3 linked regions of the Saccharomyces cerevisiae S288C genome follow. The gene in region 1 interacts genetically with each later gene. Each region holds a gene or a part of one and is shown on either strand. Other genes may lie near its edges.

Region 1 (7,223 bases):
GTCTCAAATAGCGAGTAGAATTCTTCGGGTTTTTAAGCATCTTCATTGTCTTGATATTCGTATCCACTGACTTGTGTTCCCTATTGGTCTTCTTCTCTGTAGCTAGTTTACCTTTCCAACGGCCATCTTGCACTTCTAAATTCTGTATTGATAAACTAGTTCCTAACCGTCTAATTTGGAATCGTGATACGAAACCGAATGTGCTAGTCAAACTTCTGAATGAAAGCATTCTTCACGCCATATTATGATCATTTATTAAATGTCTCCCGTAGGAGCTAGAGGAGCCTCACACAACATACGCACACATTTATATTCACCGAAAAATTAAATACAAAATGGAAAGTAGAGAAAGGAGAGAAGAAGTAGACCATCTCATTAAACCTACATTTGTCTTTAGTATCAGGAATATGTATAAGAAAGGTGACCTACCCCCTTTACAACGGTGAATTAGATGAATCAGCTAGCCTAAATATAGTATCTAAGACATTGTATATACTTTACCTTTAACTGATGCGTTATAGCGCCGCACAGATCTTTAAAGGCCTACCTCTGTAAATCGATAACAGATGATTTTCCGGTTTTGTGGCAGTATAATATTGCCCACCTATTCCCTTTATGAGCCTCTTTGGAGAGGTTATTATAAATGCTCGTGGCAAAGCTTCTAGGAGTCGAGTTATTACCTGACCCAAAAACTTTTCTCAGCCATTCTTCCTTCTGAGCCAAAGAAGTAATTGAGATTATTTCTAAAGTTTCATCTCTTAAGGCATCAACAGTGATAATTGGTGCATTGGATAAATTGTGTAATATCATATTCGAAGAATTTCTGGCTGCATCCTCATAAACCCACTTTTCCCTTTTATTAGCTTTCTTAGATCTTGTAGCCATGTTTGGAACATAAATTACCTTTTGATTATTAGTCGAACCAGCAACAACATCATCTATGTCACCTTCTTGACTACTACCGGCACTGCTGTTTTCATCCCATCTTTTAAATTCATCAGCCTTATCGCCCAAAGTGAGACTATCGTTGATCAAAGATTTATTACCAGTTTCTTGTTGGTACAAGGTTAAAAACTCATCAAGATCTAAATCTATGTCAACATTAGTGCTCAATTTTTTTATTTTTAATGGCTTGTACTTTCTCTTGTGATTGGTTAGTGGATACGCTTGTTGCTTAATCAGCAAAATCCAGTCTATACCATCCTGTTGAGCGCCAGTAACGACATCATCCACCGAGGAACAATCCCTTAACATATCCGCTTTAATGTTTTGCTTCCACAATGTATTCAGTATTGTAACCCCGATTGTGTCCAACAAAGAGTTCGAAAAACTCGATATCAATACATCACACCTGCTTGGCTTCCAATCAACAGCTGTATCTTTCAAAAACCTATTTCTCTTCTTTATCCTATTTCCAGAAGCGAGTTTGAAATAGTTTTGGGCTATACCGAATATTGTTTCCCACGCTAAGTTGAAACCTACAGCCTTACGAGTATTGCTGCTCTTTTTTCCTGATGGTCTGGCAAAAAAGGATATCAAAGTGTCATACCTCCCTCCAGCAGCTATCATATTACGTGAGGATCCATCGTCATAAACTGCATGAAACATGATACCTCCTTTGTAAAAAGCGCTATTGTAGTTACTCAAAGGAGATATCACAACATTTCTTGCAACTTCTAAGGGTTTTAGGTAACTGAGAACCTTTGATATATGGGACAAAGAGTCCTCAATTTTTTTTAGATGCGGACTATCAATCATCAATTTATACAGGCGTTTTTTGGCTGCTTCGAAGTCCAGTCTAAAATCAAATAACTCCAAATCATTCAATGCCGTAGAAGATATGTTCAGTTGCGCCTTTAGTTCATTCTTTACTTCCTTGAAGGACCTTGCAAAGCCTACTTGCGACAACATTCGTGAAACTAGAGGCCTTTGGGCTTTATCAATATTTGTAAAGTTGAAAACACTCTCCAAAATATCAGCATGATTTAATATGAAAAAAGTGTTTGTTTTCTCAAATACAGGAAATACGGTTAATATTTCATCGATAATTTTCAAGCTTTCTGCATCATAAAATCCTGACTCTGAGGAAGATTTTGAAATTATGTCGAAGTCAATCTCACCAAACTTTCTAGGTTCCAAACTTGACCTTGAATGATCAGGAGGTCGGTAAACGTGCTGCATCCTATATTGCTTAGAAATCAGACTTGGATTTTTAGATAGATACCTAGCCATAGGATAAGTTAAATCATATTGTAACTGCAAGACGGTACCGCCCTTGTCAAGCACTTCATATACATTCTGCGTACCGTATATGGGGGCCTTTGGAAAAATCCTCGGAGGAGCATTATTTTCAATTCCTCCATGTTTCCTGAAAATTTTAACTACCTCTTCTGTCATTTGGGACCTGAGAATGTTTGCGAAAGGAGTGGATGTTGGAACTGAGTTATCAAATAGAATATCATTTGTTAGACTGTAAGATTGGTTAAATAAACTTTCTCGAACTTGCTGTTGCCAAGGGGATGAAGGATTCGACAAACTTTTTAAAGCCTCTTTGATTACTTCATCCTGATGCTTCACAGGAAGCCAACCACTATTTAATAATGTCCTAGCACCAGGCCTTTTATTGGGATCATGGTCTATGAGTAACCTTATAATTTTCTTTTCAACTTTCATCTTATTATCGTCGAAATCAGGAGGAAATTCTATCGACACTGATCGTAACTTTTTCAAAATATTAACTCTCTCCATACCTGTACTGAAAGGATAGATCATTTCAAAAAAAATGATTCCAAGTGAATACATATCAATCTTTTCATTATAGTGACCTGTACCATCTAAAACTTCAGTAGCAACATACATTGCTGTACCAATGGCGGATGTTAAATTATCTGAGCTGCCTGGCAAATTCTGTGAATCTAGCTTAAGTATATCCAGAGATCTATGGACGTTCTTAGCTAACCCAAAATCACCGATTTTAACATTTCTCGATTCATCTATAAAAATATTCATTGGCTTCAGATCCCTATGAATGATACCCTGGGAATGTATATAACTCAGTGCTTCCAAAATTTGTCGAAATAACCTCCAATATTCATCACGTTGTTGATTTAAATTTTCAGAATGGATCAAATCATATAGCGTTCTATTTTCACAGTACTCCATTTGAATAAAAAGCGTACTTTTCTTCTTAACAGCAGTCATCGGTTTTACAAAATTCCTCCTTCTTGGAACGTTCTGGATACTCTTTGATTCTTTATCAGTATCATCTTGACTTTCGCTCGAGGAAGTCGAGGAAGTATCATGGTCTAGATCTTCATTTTCATCATCACGAGAACTATTTTCAAAGACAATATCCGGATATCCTGACCCCGATATGAAATCCCAGTTACTATTATCCAAATCGTGATTTGTTCTATTTTTAAAAATACTGCTTTGATCTAATAAATCATTTTCCTCAAAATCAGAGGAAGATTCGCTCAAGTCACTTTCTTCATCAGTTGATTCAAAAACGTTTTCATCCATACTGTCTTCTTCTAACCATGCAGCATAGTAACGCACAACATATTGATGATTTAAGCTTGCTAACAGCATTACTTCACTCAATATAGTAGATAACTTTTCTTCTGTATGTCTAATCTTCTTGATCGCATAGTATCTGCTATCGAGAGCATTACGTGCCTTGACAACTTGTCCAAATGCGCCCTGGCCTAAAACTGCAATCTCTTCAAAGTCAGAAGCATATCGTGATCGCGTTGCAGGATTTATAGAAGAGAATCTGGAACCAACATTAAATGATCTTCTTCGTATACTCGATTGTGAAAGTGTTCTACCTCCATTGCCCCGAACGGTTATGGTATCTCCAGGAGTTAACTCCAAGGAATTAGAATTGACACTTTCGGAAACTAAGTTAAATCGATTGATTGTAGAGTCAATATTGGTCCTTAAGAATTTCATGGGCAGTAGTTCTAATGTTCCTAATCTTTTCTTCGGATCGTTATTAAGCATTTTCGAAAGAAGATCATATAAAGTTTCATCCATACTTGTTGAATCTAGGAATTCTTGAGGCGTTTCAAAATTCATCACTATATCAGATCCACTGATTATCTGGATAAACAAAACACCAAGTTGCCAAATATCAGTTAATCTTTGAGGTTTGGCGTTATTGAATTTCAACAACTCAGGGGCTATCCATGTACTTGGAGATAACTCAACCGAAGAACCATTTTTATTTGGATATCTCGATAGCATATTCAAAACAGTGTAGCCATAAGTGGAGTGAACTAACTTGGGAATAGTGCTTCCAAAATCTGCATCCTTCACCAGGATCACGGTTTCTAAGTTGATACATTTATGAACAATTCCCAATTTGTGTATGGCCTCCAATCCTTCAAGCAATCTAATCATCCAAATACGCGCTGTTGCTAAGTTAACAAATCCAACAGATTGTATCAAATCTCCCAATGGATAGTAGTTACAGTACTCTGTCAAGAGTCTTATTTTCCAAACAAACGTTGCATTATTTCTCCCCATGCGCTCCACCGTATAACCGAACAATCGATTCACATTGTCATGCTTAGCTTTCAACACCGTCTCTAACTCTTTCTCTAAATTTGCTATTTCTTTTTTTCCATTACTTGTGTTGAAATAGCTATTATCCAATTCAATTTCAGATAGCAAATAGTAGAAATTTTCCATCATTTCAGAAGACATTAAAAAATCTGCCAACGGAGATTCTGGTGGTATATAAGGCTTCACAAGAAATTGTTTGGAAAAACTAAATATATCTGATGTCAGTTTTATTGGCTTAGGATTTACAACTGCTTTAAACTTGAACATTGAGTTATTAGGCAATTTTGCCTTTATAGTTTTTGAAAAGACAATAGCTTCACCTGATGCAACCCATTCTGAAGGTGGTTGTAAATCTAACTGGGTTGTTCTGTTGAATAGCAAATCATCATCATCATCTTGTCTTTTCTCCAACTCTCTTTGAACAATTTCATCTATCCTTCGCTGCTCATCTGATCTTTTTTTTATTGTTTCCTGTTGTTTTTCTCTTTCTTCCTTTTCTAATTGTTCTTTAGTTTCTTTGATTCTTTGTAATCGATCATCTTCCAAGGACTGTGTATTTACCACATTTTGAAATTCGTCCAGTTTTTCTTGAGTAAAAGATGTAATTTCAAATATAATCTCTTGGCCTCGGGAGGTGTTGTGGATTTTCTTAAATTCACTTTTCAGCATTTGCAATTGACTATCCATTACATTTTGTACATTTTTGAATTCTATTTCTGGAGCGGTATAAGGATACATTGGGGTCATCGCAAAATGTAATGTTATAGAAGATTCAACCGGCTCTTTGTCAACAGATCGAAGCGTAATTTCGAATATAATCTGTGGCTGCTTATCCCAGCTAGACTTTCTTTTAGTTAAGTCAGTAAAGTCATCCATATAAATGGAACGTATCGCTTCAAGTTCGTTGCACTGTATTTCATAATATTGATCTAAAGTGAGATGACTCAATGACATTTATACATAGTATGTGTTAAGGGGAACGGAAAATTATTGAAAAAAAAAATCAATGCTTATAAAATCTTAAAAGACAACGAGGCTTTCCAACAATGTAAAGATTGAAAATTTAGTGTATTTAATGTCCTTTTGTAATGAAAATAACTTCTTGTAAGAAAGAAGATAGAGATAAATGTAAAAGTAAATTTGCTTAAAAAGATTCTAGGCTGTTTATAGATTGATTACACCAGGTTCTTATCTCAAAAATCAGCTACTCAACTGCTTCCTAAGAAACTACCTACATCACTATAGTCCAACTTAAAACAAATAATAAACTTCTAAGGCTTTCGTGTAAAGTGATGTTGGGATTGTCCGATGAAATAACAAGCAGGCCCTTGCACGTCAAGATTAATTTGAATAAAGAAGTAACATGTCATCTTTATGTAATCGCTGTTATTCCATACAGAACAATAAATACGTATATTTCGTATGTCATGTGGAGTATATATTCTTTTTTATTCTTACATACCTTCATCGGACAAAGGATGTAATTCCTCATCCGGGATCCTCTGATGGGTGACTGCTTCCTCCAGGGTGACATCTGAATCGTCCATCAATGGTTTGAACGGAAGAGGATCATCAATGGGTGGGAAGATTCTTCTGTAGAAAAAGTGTGCCATTATATAACCCAACATAGACCCTAAAATTACATCGACGAAATGATGTCTGTAATCTTGAGTTCTGGATAGAGCAATTAGTGCAGCTCCTAACAGTGGTAGAAAGGCCACCATTTTTCTCCATAAAGGCATCAACGGTGATTCAGTCAAAAGTTGCCCACATAGCCAGAAGTACAAATAACCCAGTCCTGCAAAGCTTTCACTTGAATGACCTGACGGAGTTGTCCTAAACCCATCCAACAGACGTTCGTGATTCTTAGTCGTACACACATCTTTTGCAGTAAATAAAGTGTCCAATGGCAAGCCTTCAACAGGTTGGCAACGATCTAGAAAATCTGGTCTTAGTCTTCCAATCCAATTCTTGATGAAGTTTGTAAAGAAACTCGTACTGAACCAAGCGAGTGATAAACCAAGGAGAGATGTGTACAAAATAAAAATCAAATGTCTTCTATCGGCCAAAATGGAACCAATTATCAATATGGTTAAAGATGGCACGACAAAACTATAAACAAACAACATGTTGTTATTTACACGTTCAGTTGTCGCATAAGGATGCGATATAGTGAGATCGTTAATGTAAAACTGACGTTCGAACGGTTGTTGGTAATACACTGGGTAGTTAAGAAGTATCATGATAATGAGCAAAAAGACATCTTCTAATCTCCATTTCGCCCCTATGTTGAAAGGCGTTTTAATAAACGAAACTCTGTTCATTTTGGTCGTTTGCTATGATTTAATTCTGATTCTTTGCCTTTAACAATTGATAACGTGCCCTTTATTGAACTGCTAACTACTCGAAAAATTGGACACAATTCAGTTTATAGCAGGTGTCCTTTAAGTGATGTTTGCTGATTTCCGAACTGCGCGTATGTTAGTGGACCCTAGATAACAGTTTATTCCCTAACGTTTCTAGATAATATATGACAAAAATATACAACCGATCGACAAATTATTTCTAAAATACAAAAAAGTTAGTCGTGAGGTTATCCAACGTTGGGTTTCTATCTATATATAAAAGCTAATCACCAAACAATTGAGAATCAA
Region 2 (4,109 bases), on another chromosome or scaffold:
ACAAATCCATTTATTTCAATAACCTTATTCGGACTATTTTTTGATGATGAATTTCATGGATTTGATATAATAAACAAACTGGTTTCAGCATGGTTGGATTTGAAATGTTGGAGTTGGTTTGTACTTTGTATAGGTTGGCTTCCATGTTGGCTATTGATATTAGCGTCATCGTTTGAATCTAAATCTGTCGTAGTAAGGTCGAAAGAAAAGCAAAGTTAGGTGCCATTGGTAAGAAGTAAAGGATTAACGGGTGTTCGAACTACGCAATTGATTTTATACGCACAAACATTACAAATCGAAGCAAAAGAAGATGAAATGATATGATATACTGATACAAATATGTATTAAATAAAACATAAGTATTGATGGAAACATGGCATAGAGAAGCGAAGATGCGATAATATCAAATAACTATATGTGAGTTGTGGAAGAAAGAAACGATCACATTATTATAATAAACTAGCTATTTAAATGTTTATTGAAGACTGTTCTGCCCCCTTTTATTCAGTCACGGTATTGGTCAAAAAATTCTTTATGGAAACTTTCCCATTTCTTAATCCATTCCAGACCAGGTGCCAAAAATGTTGTTCTTAAATGGTAAGTACCAGGTTCTTGACCAAACCCAGAACCGGGAACAGTGCAAATGCCAGTAGATTCTAACAACTTCTTACAATAAAATTCATCCGGAGTTAACTCTAAGTGGCGAGCTTCTTGAACTGCCTTGAAAGGTAAGTCTATCTTAGGGAATAAATACATGGCACCTTGAGGCTTTTGACATTCAATGCCTTCTAAAGAGTTAAATGTCTCATACAGTGTCATTGCTCTTGTAATTAACTTTTCATGGATGGAGTTACGTTCTGCTTGGTCCGACTCGAATGATTCCTCCCCTTCCACTGGTGGACGAACCATCAAATCAACCAAAGCTTGACCTGTGACAACGGGACACAATGAAATCGAGGCTAGTTTCAAGATAACTTGTCTCATCTCATGGCTGAATCCAGTGAGTTCCATGTAGCCACCCCTTTGACCACATTCACCAGAAACACCCTTAGAAGTCGAATGCAAAGAAGCTAGCTGAACATTATCGAATTTACCTGGATGTTCCCTCTGTAAATGTCTCAAAATTTTCTTCATAGAATGGAACTTGGTGCCCGGGAAGATATTTTCTTGATAAACTTCGTCAGCTATCACTACTGTACCGTACTTGGCTGCGACTTCAAAAATCTGAGCTATAGACTCAGGTGATAGGACAGCTCCTGTAGGATTACCTGGATTGATAACCACTAGAACTGTAGGTTTGATTTCGTTCTGTATAGCCTCTTTGACGACAGTTTCAATTTCTTCTGGATTAGTTGACCAACCTGAATTCTCATCTAAATAGTATGGTAAAGCTTGAGAATTGTTCAAAGCTAGAGTAGCGGTATATAATGGATATTGAGGAATTGGAATCAAGACACCCGTTTCTGGCCCTCTACAGAAAATTGATAACAAGTAATTGACAGCTGCGGATGCACCAGCAGTTAGGAAAATATCCTCTGGGTATGATATCTCGCCTTCGTCCCTCTTCGTTATAAATTCAGCGACACTTTTCCTTATACCTTCTACACCTTGAGAAGAAGAGTAAGCACCAACAGAACCACCGATATCTTCCATTAAACTCTTTGCACGTTTAATGGCATCTAGTTTAAACAATTTCGAATCAACTAGCTGCTGTTCGTTTTGGTTTAATAGTTCTGGGTATTGTAAGAGAGACAAGACCTGTCTGTAGTAAGTCAGAGGTTTCTGTTGTAGTTGCTGAGGATTACCAATATTGGCGTTGATAATCCTGTCAAATGGCAGAGATTGAGGATCCTTCTCCAGTTGAGCTTTCAATTCTTCAGCTCTCATTGGGATGGCACCTCTAACGGCGTACTTAGCCTTCAAGACATTTTCATTTACGTCTTCCAAAGTCAATTGTTCGGCGGGATAAAACTCGTTATTCGAAGTTTTCAACGTGTGGTGTGGAAAGCGATTCAAATGACGCAGGTCGTTTAGCGAAGATTGACCAGATAATGAACGTCTATGATTTTGAGCAACAATCCAGGAAGAGCTATGTCTCTGTAGGACGGGTCTAACTTTCCTGAAAGCTTTTAACTTTGTACTACTGGCTGAGGTAGAAAAAGGAGTAGTGATATGTGGCATTTTTTCTGCGCTTGAAGTGAGAGTCCTTATATGATATGACTTAATAACGTGAGTTATAGAATTACTCACTGTGAAGTGATTTTTGGCAGACAGTGATAACATCGTGGAGAGAGCAAAATAAAGACTGGGGAAATATATTTATATGCGTTCAATTGAGAAGCAGAAACAATTAAATGCGGGGGAGAAACAAAGAAGCTGGTCCTGTTCTCGAGCAACGTGTGACTAGTATGAACAACTAGAGTAAAATAGCGAGAAAGCAGTAGTAGTAACGGAAGAGCTTTTCCTAGTATGGTCCGCGGGTCACGATCGTTTACAAAGGGCGCAGCAAACTCTAAATACGTCAACCACAGCAGGTCAGAAGAGTACGTGAAGTTGTCTCAACGAAAGGTCGAAAATCGTTAGGCTTGGACCCCTTCAGAATGAAAAAAAAAAAAGACGCAAGAGTGAAAAAAAAACCAGTACTGTAAAAGCAGAAAACGTCTAATGGGAAGTGCTACTATGTAAGATTATATCATGAATGTGCTGTGTATTATATATGGATTATATAGCCACGAATATGCGGTAAATAAACATATGCATATATGTGTGTGGGGCAGCGCTCTGCTGTGCAATCCTTGTTTCTTTGTTTCTTGGGTCGGGATTTGAGTAGCGACGAGCCATCCTCTGCAGAAGGGAAGAAGAAAGAAAGGCAGAGAGGCAAAGAAAGAGTCAGGCTTATCTTATCTTAAGAGATATGCCGCTTGGACCCAAAAGAAAGGGAAAAGTAAGTACGCAGGTGTAGTTTTGAATGAGTGGCAGTGATAGAGGAGACCGGTTATACGATGTGTTGGGGGTGACGAGAGATGCGACCGTGCAAGAGATTAAAACTGCTTACAGAAAGCTTGCCCTGAAACATCATCCGGACAAGTATGTGGATCAAGACTCAAAGGAGGTAAATGAAATCAAATTCAAAGAGATCACTGCCGCTTACGAGATCTTGAGCGATCCGGAGAAGAAATCACATTACGACTTGTATGGTGATGATAATGGTGCCGCTAGCAGCGGTGGCGCTAATGGCTTTGGAGATGAAGATTTTATGAACTTCTTTAACAATTTCTTCAATAATGGAAGTCACGATGGAAATAATTTCCCTGGCGAGTATGATGCGTACGAAGAGGGCAACTCTACAAGCTCTAAGGATATCGATATCGATATATCTCTTACTTTGAAGGATTTGTACATGGGCAAGAAGCTGAAGTTTGATTTAAAGAGACAGGTCATCTGTATAAAGTGCCACGGTTCTGGCTGGAAACCAAAGAGGAAAATTCACGTTACACACGATGTGGAATGTGAATCATGCGCTGGAAAGGGTTCAAAGGAACGTCTGAAGAGGTTTGGTCCCGGTTTGGTAGCTTCGCAATGGGTGGTCTGTGAGAAATGTAATGGTAAGGGGAAGTACACTAAAAGACCCAAGAATCCAAAGAACTTTTGCCCCGATTGCGCAGGCTTGGGGCTCCTGTCAAAGAAGGAAATCATCACAGTGAACGTGGCTCCGGGACACCACTTTAACGACGTAATTACAGTCAAGGGGATGGCGGACGAGGAAATCGATAAGACCACATGTGGTGATTTAAAGTTCCATCTCACTGAAAAACAAGAAAACTTGGAGCAGAAGCAAATCTTTTTGAAGAACTTTGACGACGGCGCCGGGGAAGATTTGTATACAAGCATTACCATATCGTTAAGCGAGGCCTTGACGGGATTTGAGAAATTTTTGACAAAAACCTTCGACGACAGGTTACTAACATTGAGCGTTAAACCTGGCAGAGTAGTAAGACCTGGTGACACCATCAAAATCGCCAATGAAGGTTGGCCCATTTTAGATAACCCTCATGGCCGGTGCGGCGATCTGTATGTTTTCGTTCATATTGAATTTCCACCAGATAACT
Region 3 (2,931 bases), on another chromosome or scaffold:
TGCAATCTGATACATGTCCCTCCGTAGATGAACTGTACATTGACTTGCCCGGGCCAAGTTACACGATTTTCAGGCAGGGTGATTCAAGTTTCTTTATCTACTCTTGTCCCTCTGGCAGCAAAGTCAAAGATAGAATGATATATGCTTCTAACAAGAATGGATTTATCAACTACTTGAAAAATGATCAAAAAATCGCATTTAGTAAAGTGGTAGAAATTGGCGATTTTGTGGAACTAGACAAGTCCTTACTTATGGCAACAAATAAAGAAGATAGCCTCGATCATGGATCCAATCCAGATCTCCCAAACAAAAGCAATTTGAAATTCAACAAACCAAAGGGCCCATTGAGGAAAAGAAGAACATAGAGATAGAAATGGCATCTATATATGTGTGACCAACAATACATACGTTTTTATTCTTCTAAATATGAAACTGAATGTTTTTCTAGGTTTGCTGGAATATATATTACACTGGCAAAAATTGTTATGCTATGCTATTTAATGTTCATTGTTTTTGCAGCTTGATAACCTCTCTTAAGGCGCCAAATGGATTTTTTTGGAAATCTTGATTGGTTAGGACCTGATTGAATCTTGCAGTTTCGTTAGCAGCCAATGCCTTTGCACCCTTTTGGTTCCTGATATTTGGCTGATTCTTTTTTATCCTAACAGAACCAGGTTCTATCTTTTTCAAGTTCATTTCCTTTGTGTCCACAAACCTTATTTTAGAATCCATGTCGATGTCATCATCGTTATTCATGTCTTTGCTACTATTTTCAATAATGCCCCGTAAATCCTTTTCTTGCTCCAAAGAAGTGAGCAGATCTTGCATTCTTGGTTTTAGTTCTTCTCTTAGCTTTCTTTTCCTACGTCTAATGGAAGATTTAGAAATACCATCAAAATTGGCAGCTATGCCATCGTTAAGTGTGGATTTCCCCTTCAAGTTAGATAAGAAAGTATTCTGTCTGTTAAGTAGCTTTTCCTTTTTAGTTTCTTTAGGTTGGTGCAGAAAGGCCCTTGGATCAGATTCTATGTCATAACTCTCGTCCAGAATGCCATTGTTCGCTACGTCTGGTCCAAAATTTTGACTATTTCTTGCACTTACTTTGCTTCTAAGCGTGTTTCTCTTCTTAGCAACCATTATCGCTTATCTATGCTTCTATATTCAATGGATTTCCTGTCTCTTATCTCTGCTCATCGAGTCTGTAATGCTTGAGTATGTAAAACATGAAAAATTTGCAGTGCGTCACCCCGTTCAGTTTCTCGCGCCGAATAACATTTTTTATACAGGAATATTTCACCTTGATAATGGCCGACATTTACGTTATTTACCTATTGTCCCTTCGCCTAGACCTACAAGAAACATTGCCTCAAGTGCCACCTTCATAAAGTTTATTTTCTATTATGTCCCAGTCGAACCCTATCTTACGTGGCCTCGCTATTACAACAGCCATAGCAGCTCTATCAGCCACCGGTTATGCTATCTACTTTGACTATCAAAGAAGAAATAGCCCGCAATTCAGGAAAGTGTTGAGACAAAGGGCCAAAGAGCAGGCCAAGATGGAAGAACAAGCTAAAACTCATGCTAAGGAAGTGAAGCTGCAAAAGGTTACCGAATTCTTATCCATGGAATTAGCCAAGGACCCCATCCCTAGTGATCCCTCCGAAAGAGAAGCTACATTTACCACCAACGTAGAAAATGGTGAAAGATTATCCATGCAACAAGGTAAGGAACTGGAAGCAGCCTCTAAGTTTTATAAAGCATTGACTGTATACCCTCAGCCAGCCGATTTATTGGGAATTTACCAAAGATCCATTCCTGAAGCCATTTACGAATATATTATATTAATGATTGCCATCTTGCCTCCTGCTAATGTGGCTTCTTTCGTTAAAGGAGTTGTTGGAAGCAAGGCCGAATCTGATGCGGTTGCTGAAGCTAACGATATCGATGACTGAGAGTAACATTTTGCTTGCTTTTTTTCTCCGTTTTTGTTTCTTTTACTCTGTATATAGCCCTATATAATTACATCATTTCTCTAGCCTAAATCTTGTTATATATACCAAGCTTTTTGGAAAGCTAAGGATAAAAACAATTCTTTTCATTAGATGTATTTTTTCATCGTATTAGGTGTAATATATATATATATGTATATATATATATATATATAATATATATGTAGTATACACACGTGGACGACCATTAACGAATGTTGTATATGCTTATGCGGAACCTTTGTACTCTCTTAAAATAACAGGGACAGATGAAGGTGGCAAAGCGCCGAATTCAGTGATCACTTTTTTAATATATTCTGGTGGTGTTAAATCGTATAAGATGTTGACAATATTTAACGAAGGTAACTCTTGCCAACCATCCAAAATATTTTTGCTGTTGCTGTCTTCTTCATTACTGGCGTCCTTGCTTTCTCCTTCAGATCCTTTCTTACCGCCAATTTTATTACCCTTTGGCTTATTCTCCATTGCTAGCTTTTTCTTTTCAAATTTTCTTTCTTTGATAAATTGGTTTAATAACGCACCTTTATTACCGCGTCTCTCGACTGGATTTTCGTAATCTATATTAACCAGGTCATTTGGATCTGCCAGTTCATTAAATGTGACACTATCCAATTGTACTCTTTGTGAAAACTTCAAACTTTCGCAGCAGACTAATACAGGTATATTTCTTCTCTTAGCGCTCATAGCCAACATTGCTGTCCCAGCTCTTGAATATAGGAACCCATTAGATAGGATAGAATGGGCTCCTAAAAACACATAGTCCACATCCATATTGAATATCGTATCCAAACTTGTAATAAGTGCATACATAACATTGACACCAGCATTTCTTAAAGTTTCTGCCATTTTCCGCCCTTCAAATAGTGGTCTCGAATCGACGACAATCACTTTGATGTTTTTCTTTAAACTGATTGCATTATGC

What was found.
Region 2: mutations in GCN2 (region 1) and ALT1 together harm fitness more than expected from each alone (negative genetic interaction), as found in Saccharomyces cerevisiae (3 studies listed by BioGRID).
Region 3: mutations in GCN2 (region 1) and SLX9 together harm fitness more than expected from each alone (negative genetic interaction), as found in Saccharomyces cerevisiae (4 studies listed by BioGRID).

The regions. Positions count from the first base shown.
Region 1 is NC_001136.10:1,024,527-1,031,749, forward strand, and holds GCN2 (serine/threonine-protein kinase GCN2), read right to left. Parts: upstream 5,524-7,223; coding exon 544-5,523; downstream 1-543. Other genes in the region: MRX10 (Mrx10p), read right to left, coding at 1-229; DPP1 (bifunctional diacylglycerol diphosphate phosphatase/phosphatidate phosphatase), read right to left, coding at 6,024-6,893. UniProt on the Saccharomyces cerevisiae protein: Metabolic-stress sensing protein kinase that phosphorylates the alpha subunit of eukaryotic translation initiation factor 2 (eIF-2-alpha/SUI2) on 'Ser-52' in response to low amino acid, carbon, or purine availability.
Region 2 is NC_001144.5:317,733-321,841, forward strand, and holds ALT1 (alanine transaminase ALT1), read right to left. Parts: upstream 2,284-4,109; coding exon 505-2,283; downstream 1-504. Other genes in the region: GPI-anchor transamidase subunit GAA1, read left to right, coding at 1-219; XDJ1 (Xdj1p), read left to right, coding at 2,969-4,109. UniProt on the Saccharomyces cerevisiae protein: Alanine aminotransferase involved in both alanine biosynthesis and utilization. Under respiratory conditions, constitutes the sole pathway for alanine biosynthesis and catabolism.
Region 3 is NC_001139.9:642,644-645,574, forward strand, and holds SLX9 (Slx9p), read right to left. Parts: upstream 1,138-2,931; coding exon 505-1,137; downstream 1-504. Other genes in the region: twinfilin TWF1, read left to right, coding at 1-365; TOM complex receptor protein TOM20, read left to right, coding at 1,401-1,952; GCD2 (translation initiation factor eIF2B subunit delta), read right to left, coding at 2,217-2,931. UniProt on the Saccharomyces cerevisiae protein: Involved in ribosome biogenesis. Required for normal pre-rRNA processing in internal transcribed spacer 1 (ITS1). May be involved in the movements of the replication forks.